2 linked regions of the Schizosaccharomyces pombe genome follow. The gene in region 2 interacts genetically with the main gene of each other region. Each region holds a gene or a part of one and is shown on either strand. Other genes may lie near its edges.

The links. A genetic interaction does not mean that the proteins touch.
Region 1: mutations in nup37 (region 2) and mok11 together harm fitness more than expected from each alone (negative genetic interaction), as found in Schizosaccharomyces pombe (one large-scale study listed by BioGRID).

The regions. Positions count from the first base shown.
Region 1 is NC_003424.3:4,372,598-4,377,370, reverse strand, and holds the start of mok11 (cell wall alpha-1,3-glucan synthase Mok11), read right to left. Parts: upstream 3,009-4,773; 5' UTR 2,995-3,008; coding exon of another isoform or gene 2,680-2,994; 5' UTR 2,639-2,679; coding exon of another isoform or gene 2,384-2,638; 5' UTR 1,873-2,383; coding exon 1-1,872. Other genes in the region: aah2 (alpha-amylase 2), read left to right, coding at 2,384-2,638, 2,680-2,994, 3,113-4,000, 4,045-4,332; SPOM_SPAC23D3.13C (guanyl-nucleotide exchange factor), read left to right, coding at 4,659-4,739.
Region 2 is NC_003424.3:4,868,323-4,872,553, reverse strand, and holds nup37 (nucleoporin), read right to left. Parts: upstream 2,211-4,231; 5' UTR 2,055-2,210; coding exon 2,029-2,054; exon of another isoform or gene 1,978-2,028; coding exon 1,901-1,977; exon of another isoform or gene 1,828-1,900; intron 1,732-1,827; coding exon 659-1,731; 3' UTR 528-658; downstream 1-527. Other genes in the region: hit1 (HIT zinc finger domain-containing protein), read left to right, coding at 1-378; SPOM_SPAC4F10.17 (uncharacterized protein), read right to left, coding at 3,595-3,966.

The DNA.
Region 1 (4,773 bases), 500 kb from region 2:
GTATTCTGAGCTTATATTTTGCAATGAATTAATGGCACCCCTCACCATACTAAACGTACCAACGTTGGAGGGATTTATGCCGCTATTTGGCAGATATTCAATATTGGTCCAGTTTCCTAAAAGTTCCGATTTCCAGCCGTGAGTGAGCGCACTATATCGAGACCTGATATCTTGAAACTCTATAAATAATTGTCGCTCAATTCTTGAAGGGTCAAAATGATCTAAAGAATTCCAAATATCTAAACAACCAATTTTCGCGGGACTTAAGTCAATAGCAGGGTAAGTAGAAGATGATCCAGAATAACAGCCATGAATATACCAAGCCGGAGCCGCAGCCATGGATTGTCTGCCATATAAATAATTGTTTGCACTGTTATCTAAAACGTACAGTCCTTGTTCATCACCATAATATATTAGAGGCGCACCAGGAAACAAAAAAAATGTCATCATTGTTCCTAAGATTAATCGGCGAGAGCCATCAGCAACCGATGCCCAGCGGAAAACATCGTAATTTGAAACACCGTATAAATGGCGAGGGTCATATTTTTCAGTTTTGGGATTGAAAGAATCTTCATTTATCACAATTTGGTGCCATGCTTCAGCCAAATCTACAGGGAGATCGTAAGGGATCTCCATTAAACCATCCATTCTCAAGAATCGTAAAATAATCCTGTAAACTGAATAATGAAAAGCGGATGCATCCAAAGCATTTTCACCTTCTTCTCTTAGGAAGTAAACATTATCAGAAGAAGTAGCATTCAGCGCATCGATTAAATTTGCGGGACGTTGATTTGGCTGTCTACCCCGGTTATAGTATATAGCTCCAAAGCTTGAGGGACCAGTGACTTCTCCAGGTATAAAAAAATTACTTTTGTTAAATCGATTTGCGCAGAGACGAACGCTTTTGGCCCAATCTACAAGGAAATCTACTGTCATCTGGGTAGCCTTATCAATGCGAAAACCGTCTACATCAAGCATAGAAATCACCAAGCATGAAAGCCTCTTGAGTTTCGATGCTACCGAAGGTTTCCATTCACGAAGCCGGTCCTGAACAGATGCAAATTTTGAGAGTTGACGTTGCCAATCAGGATGACTACCAAACGCTTCAGTATCACCATACTGGTCAAAGTCCGAATTATAACAACCCGTCCATTCTACTACCACAGGTTCACCAGATTCGCCCCAAAATCTAGGCAATTCACAGTCAGGGTCCCACGAATTTGTGAAATTCCAATCAGCATACCGATCTTCTCCTTTCCAAAGAGCGTTATGCTCAATAAAAGTAAACGGAGTAGTAGTGTTTGTGAAACCCTCGAAACCTATCAGATCGGCTAATGTAGCAACGGTGAGATCCACAATTACATACATGCCTTTACTATGCATTTCTTCGATTGTTCCTCTCCAGTCGTTAATCGTCCCTAAATGAGGATCAAGTAACGTGAAATCAAGAGGAGAATACTGATCAGCTCCCCAAGGCATATTAACAAAAGGTGTCCCAGCAAAGTAAACAGCTTTAACACCCATACCTTGCAAATAGTCTAAAGATTGACGCACACCAATTATATCTCCACCGTTTCTAAATTCTGTCTCATAAATGTCGTATTCAAATCTTGTTCCACTAAAATCATTATTGGTTGGATCTCCATCGACCCATTTGTCAATAGCAATAGTATAAATGGGAAATCTCCAATGTTCTGGGCTAGGAAAAAATTCATGATTCTCCCATTCACCCCAATAATCCGATGGATCAAGAGCAGAAACGTTAGTGTTCAAATTCCAATCAGTAAGGAGATTATTGAAAGGAGCGCACCAAGCATGTTTGTCAAGTATAACAATATACAAAAAGAAAGAAACAACAAGAGGGTACGCCATATCCCTAAGTGTAAAAATCTAGTTAAATAGTTGAAAAAGTAAAAAGATTTTAACAAATTTGATAGGAGCACAAAAGATAGAAGGTAAAGTCTTCAGACTTAAACTAGTGATTAAAGGGAAAAAACGATCACTCTAGTATTTAAAATGAAGTTTCTTTTATAGAATTTTAATAGATAATCTTTGAAAAAGAAAAAAAATACTGGTTCTTCAGTTATTTATCTTATACTGATTTCAGTATGTCCATGTGTTGCGCAAAACAAAATGTTGAATATGAATATAATCAAACTATATTGTTTGTTTACTAAAACAACAGTAGTGATGTGTGCGCAATTTAAAGTAGCAAATAGCTAATTGTTTGATAACAATCGTTGTTGACTATGCGCAAATAAAAAGTAAACACGTATTTGTTTACATGCATTCACACAAACTCCTCTGAAATTTAAGAAGCAAAATTGTTACAAACAACACCATAATTCAATCAGAAACCAAAAGGTAAAAAAATTGATTAATAATGAATTACCGTAGAAATATATGTCTCAGAATTGGTTGGATGCTGCTTTTTGCATTTATTCCAGCATATGCAGGACATTCTGCTGAAGAGTGGAAACGCAGATCAATTTATCAAATAATCACCGACAGATTTTCTTTAGAAGAAGGTGCAACAGAGAGAATTCCATGCGATCCCGTTCGATTTATGTACTGCGGGGGAACTTGGAATGGAATTCGAAATCATCTAGATTACATCCAAGGCATGGGATTTGACGCAGTATGTATTTTTACCCAAATACTTGATTAACATAATGATAGATATGGATCTCACCAATCTTTGAAAATGTTGAAGGAAATGATATTGACGGTTCGTCCTATCACGGATATTGGACAACCAACCTCTATGAGCTTAATCACCACTTTGGAACAAAGGAAGAATTTATGGAGCTAATACAAGAATTGCATAAACGCGACATATGGATTTTACTAGACGTGGCTATCAATTCTATGGCGATAAACGGACCGCTGGAACAAATGAGCTTTGAAAAAGTTATACCCTTCAATGATGCTTCTTTCTTTCATCCTCACTGCTGGGTTGATTATGAAAGCAACGACATTGAAAGTGTTCAAAATGTATGCCAAATTATACAGACTAAACGATTTTTCCTACAACCTAGACTTAGCCTGTACAGGTCGTTAAGTCTCGTTATATTGTTTTTTAGAACGACAGTGAACTAACTATATGATATAGTGCTGGCTTGGTGATGAGAATTTACTGTTGGCTGATGTTGATACAGAAAACGAAGTAGTTTTGAGCGTTTTAGAGAAATGGATAAAAAACGTTGTGCAAGAATATGATATCGATGGTATCAGGTTTGATGCAATTAAGCATGCGCCGATAGAATTCTGGTTACGAATGTCGAAAGCAGCGGATATATTTACAATCGGCGAATATTTCACTGGTTCGCCAGCAGAAGCCTGTGATTACCAAAATTCTGGTTTAGACTCTTTCCTCAATTTCCCTCTTTACTGGCCAATTACTTGGGCATTCAACAACACTGGTCTTCAATGCGAGGCTTTAGCAATCGCAATTAACCAAATAAACGAAGAGTGCAATGATATCAATGTGTTGGGAACGTTTATTGGAAATCATGACTTACCAAGAATAAGCCACAATAACACCGACCAAGCAAGAATTATGAATGCAATTACATTTGTGATGATGTGGGACGGTATACCCATTATTTACTATGGTACCGAACAAAATTTCAACAGTTACCATGATCCGTTTAATAGAGAAGCTCTTTGGCTATCAAATTTTGATATGGAGAATGTATACTATAAGCTTATTGGTATCCTAAATCGGTTCAGGAAGTCCGTTCAACGTCAGGAAGAGAATTATGTGAACACTAGATCTACTATCCTAAGCGTCAAAATTCACCACATAGTTGTTCAAAAGTTGAATGTTATTACCGTTTTGAACAACTATGGAATTCATAACGAAGAGCGTCTATCAATCGTTTTCAAACCGCTTGGCGCATCTCCTAAGGACACGTTTTTTGATATCATTAACAACCAAAAATATGTTGTGAACACTGACGGCACGCTTAAAGTTGTCATCACTAACGGATTTCCCATTGTAAGTTATTTCATTGTCTAAAAGACTACTAACGTTCATTAAAGGTTTTATATCCTACCAGCAAAATCGAAACTTCATTACCCCAGTTTACAGCGACTCTTCTTCCAGAAATAACATTTGTTCCAAGTATTACAGTTACTACTCATTATGTTTTGCCTACCTTGTTAGCTCCATTGGGATACGATATACGTGAACATCCTGGAGGTCAACAATTTTGGAATACGTTAACTGCTAAATCAGAGGCTAAAACCATTCGATCCTTCACCAAATTGAAATTATTCATTCTGCTAATTGCTGTTCCATTTGCTTTACCCATGATTATTCTCATTTAATACTGTTCAAGTTTTTTATCATTCTCCCCACCTCTTTAAAAAACCTTTCATCAAGCGCCTAATTAAACGAGCGCTTTATTTTATCTGGTTTATACTATTGTTTATTTTGCTCTCATAAAATAAACTAGATGTTATATAATATAGTGTTTATACAATTCGTAATACCAATCTTGCGTTACTCTGTTAAGCTCCTTATAGCAATCCAGTGAACATCGCAAATTAATACCTCAACAGCCCTCATTGAGTGTGGTATATACTCCGTTTCCAAATCCCTTGAATTACATGCATGAAAAGGGGTTTAGATTCTTTAATTAAAGCAGACACTCATGAGTTTATATGATAGTCTTCTTTCAAATTTGCAGTCAATTAATGTGGACACTAGGAAAAAGAATGCAGACTTGAAGAAGGTAAATGTGAGCGTATCAACTTTTTAGTCTAACA
Region 2 (4,231 bases):
AAAATCCACCAAAGTCAATGTGAGACTGTAAATGACAATAACACAACAACATTCAAAGGAGTTAAAGAACCTTTAAACCCCCCAGAACCTTCTCCTAATGTTATCTACGTTAATGGAAGAATCCCAAGTTTAGCAGAAGAGGCATTGCCAAGTGAAAGTCTTTTGGAATCTATTGTCGAAGATCCTAGCATAAAAAATTTAATTGAAAGTAATGCCGAGCTTTTACATATAATGAAAGAATTAGTGAACCTTGACCGTGAGGAAGAGGGTTCTGTTCCTCTGAAAACCTTAGATGCTATTCAGCAACAGCGGCTACACAATCCATCTTTCGAAAAACTGGCATCCATGATTCTGGAAAAATATTATGCTCAAAAATAATGGGTTTTATCATTGTAACGAACATTTAGAAGATTCAATTCAAATCGCATATCGGTTATTGGAAGTTGAAATATCAAAGGCGATATTTGAACCAAGGCGAATTGTTTACGAAAGCAACACATCCATTTAAAATTTTTAAAAGTAACAGCGTTTACACGATGTTAATACATAGCAAATACTACTTTTTGGTTTAACTATGAACATTAATATTTATTCAATACAATTTCCTCTCCTGAACCCGTTTATTTTAGTTCGATGTTAAGTATATTGTTCTATACCCTCATAATCTCGTAAACCCCATCAATCTGGTAAGCAAAACAGATCCTTCCGTAGCTATAGCAAGATGTGATCCATCTTGGTGCCAGCAAAAGTCAACGATGGGCATACCTAATTGAATAGGAATTGAATTCGAGTCCTTTTCATATGTATTAATGAGCTGTATTAAGCCGTGCTGAGAATGTGCCGTAGCAAAGTAATCCATGTAACGGGGATGTGGGCAAGCACCAAGCAAGGATGGGAACAATGAAATGCCTTGCACGTTGGGCAGTAGATTTTTGGGTCCCAATTTCATAGTGGAATCCGAGATTTCATTGTAATCGTTATTAGCAAAAAGATTCCAACGAAGCCAAGCCCCACTTTTACACATTGCAAGTATACCGCTTCCATCACTTCCGATCCATCGAACGTTAGCTAAAGAGGAAGCAATGCCGCTACTATGACAGGTGTTAACGAGTGGCAGGGTATTCAAAGTCAAAAGCCATGGATTTTTAACCAACTCGGTTTGAGAATTTTCTTCAGCTGATAAATTCAAAGTCCAGTCAAAAATCCTAATATTACCATTCCTTTCTCCAACAATCAATTGATTAGGATTAGATGGGCGAAATTGGACACTAATACCAGGGGAAGACAATGGGTATCCAGCTAAAATAGGCCCTTCATCAGTCAGTCTCCATATAATCAACGTACAATCGTCGCCCACAGATGCTATCACCTGCTCAGCGAGACGATTATCAGCGGAATAGACGTCTGCAATATCGATATCATTCACAAAATTATGATGCCCAGATTTTCCGCCCAACACATGTTGAGTAATAATGGTTTCATTCTTTGTAATTATTAGACGAACTGTATTATCCTGACACACACATGCAAGAAACAAAGAATACACAGGTGAGGAATTCACATTTCCATCGCCATCATGCAAATTCTCAGAATAACTACAGCTAGATGAAAAAGAAAGATGCAAAGTGGGTAACCCAGTTTGAATAGTGAACAACTCTTGTAATGTCAAACCTGTAGATCCGGGCGTCTGTTCTTCTGAAGCACAATAAATAGTGATACCCGTATCATGGCCTGTATAAGGTTAATCATTAGTTTAAAACGTTTAGAGGAATGCTATTTGAAGATAATTGTTTCATTAGCACTGAGGTTTTCTCAAATATTGTAACTTAGGAAAACAGAAAAGAAGAAATGAGTAATACGTAAATTACCATTCGTCGTAACATTCAGATATCTTACATACCTATGGCAAGAAGATTTGAACAGGAAGGAGACTGGGAACACCAAGTCGTTGTATACGGGCGGACATTAAGAGGCAATCTAATAAACAGAAGTTAGAAAGAGACATAAACGAAATAACGCTGAACGTACTGATACTGGTTAGAGGAAAGAGTCATGACGAAAAATAGTTTTCAAAAAAAACGGAAAGAATGAACGCTTTATTGTGCAGACAATAAAAAGATAAAGAAATTAAAAATGCATTTATATATACAAATGGAAAAAGAGAAGTTTCGGCCACGTTTTCTAGTGATATGGTGTTGCAGGTAACTAGTGGGTTACGTGAATTGGATGAAGCTGAAGAAAACGTTCTACCTTACGGAGCCAAAACTACCACCATTAATTTACAAAAAATCAAACGAAAACCTATACAAAGCAGTTTAGATAATGAAACACGATAAATATAACCATTTTAATGCAATTACTAAAATTTGTACTTATACTAAATATCTTTTAATAATTTAACTTATATTCAATTAACAAATAGAGTGTTTACTAAATACATCAAAATAAAACTATATGTAAAAAAACCAACACGATATTCCACTGATTTATTGCAGAACGAAAAGTAATAATTGCGTTCCGTATGAAGTATACAGCGGTTTTATTCTTTCCAACACGTTCCCCAAGCCAATTACATAAACCGTGACACAGGCTTGTGAATAGTGTGGATAAAAACGAATGTAAAGCATTGTAAACGACAAATGGGGTTTTTTATAGCATAATGATCATTTTAGCAGTCACATCTTCTCGTATAAACCAGATTTTGTGGAGGGAGTAAATGCAGTAAATATTGAAAATTTGAAAAAACCTTCGGAAATCTTAGCTTGGGCATTTCATTCTGAGCCGAAATCTTGGCAACTTCAAAAACCCAAGGGCTATGGCTATTCTTGCTTCAAGACTAGTAAAATATAATACAATCGAGTACTATCATGTTGGTGAATGATATTATGTTATTGACTGTAGAGCGTATATAACATGAGAATGTCACTGTACAATAACGGAATTTATTTACTTTAAAAATGTTGGCAAGTTGCAATACAAATTTGAAATTATTGCTTTGAACAGCCTTTGGGATTTATCGCTATGCTTACAACGAGCGGCATTGAATTTACTGGAGTAGAATGGCATGAATGTGTTTGACCAAAATGAGTATTATTACCATTATCCATTACAATGCCTTTATACAACTATCCGGCCTATAGAATAACAAAATTTAAATTTGACCATAGTAGCTGTTGACAGCATGTGGGCCATAAAGTTTTTACATACAGTCAAGTCCATACTAAGGCTAGCATCGGCAATGCAAAATATGCAGTATCACTGCCACGAATACCAGACTATACAACCGGAATATAATTAACACATCTCGCGATAATCTCATTCTTATTTAAATCATGAAATTTTTTTTTTTTGCTATCATCAAAAATTGAATTTATTTTGTAAATAAAAGCCAGGAACCGTTGAACTATGATTTTTAGTTTATTAACAATCTTCTAGCTTCGTTTTGTAAATCATGCATTGTTCGTTCATATAAATCCAAAAAGAAAGCGATGTTTTCAAACGTGAAGCATCTTTAAAATCATAAAGAGCATCAAGGAGCTTGTATACAAGCTTCCACTCAATACATTAACTCGATTCATTTACAAGGAATCCTCTTTATTCCTTTTTAACACCACCATCACGATTCATCCCCTCACGACGAGTTTCTTCGAGTACGTTTTCCGACCGTTGGCTAAATTCCTCTTTTATTTTCTTACCAGCATCTTTCGCCTTTTGCTGATAGTCGGTATCTTTTGCATCCTTGGCAGTTTGCTTTACCGATTGCTTTGCATTCTCAGCCATTTCCTGTGGTGACTTATCTTTGTTTTCATCTATCTTTTTCGAAGCCTTACCAGTTGCTTTTTTGACAGTTTGACTGATTTTCTCAGGTGCTTCTTCCAGTGTTTCTTTTATATATTGACGAATTGTTGTATTAGCAGGATTGGTTGCCTTCCAAGCGAAAGCAATTCTTGCAGCACGAAACGCCATGTTAACAATATGAAGATAAAAAAAATAAAGCAAAAAATATAAAATTTGTGTAAGTTTTAGTTACCAACGCTAGTGGGTATGAACTAAAACGTTATACTTTATCTGTTTATGGTGCCTTAGCAATTTTCCAATTCTGTTTTCTTTTTCAAGACGAAAAAAATTAAACAACAATAAATATGCTTTATTTGTTGTTATTGAGAAATCGTTTATTTACTTTACCCATACCCTTTGCACTGTATATATAGTACACCCCAGCACTTAAGGA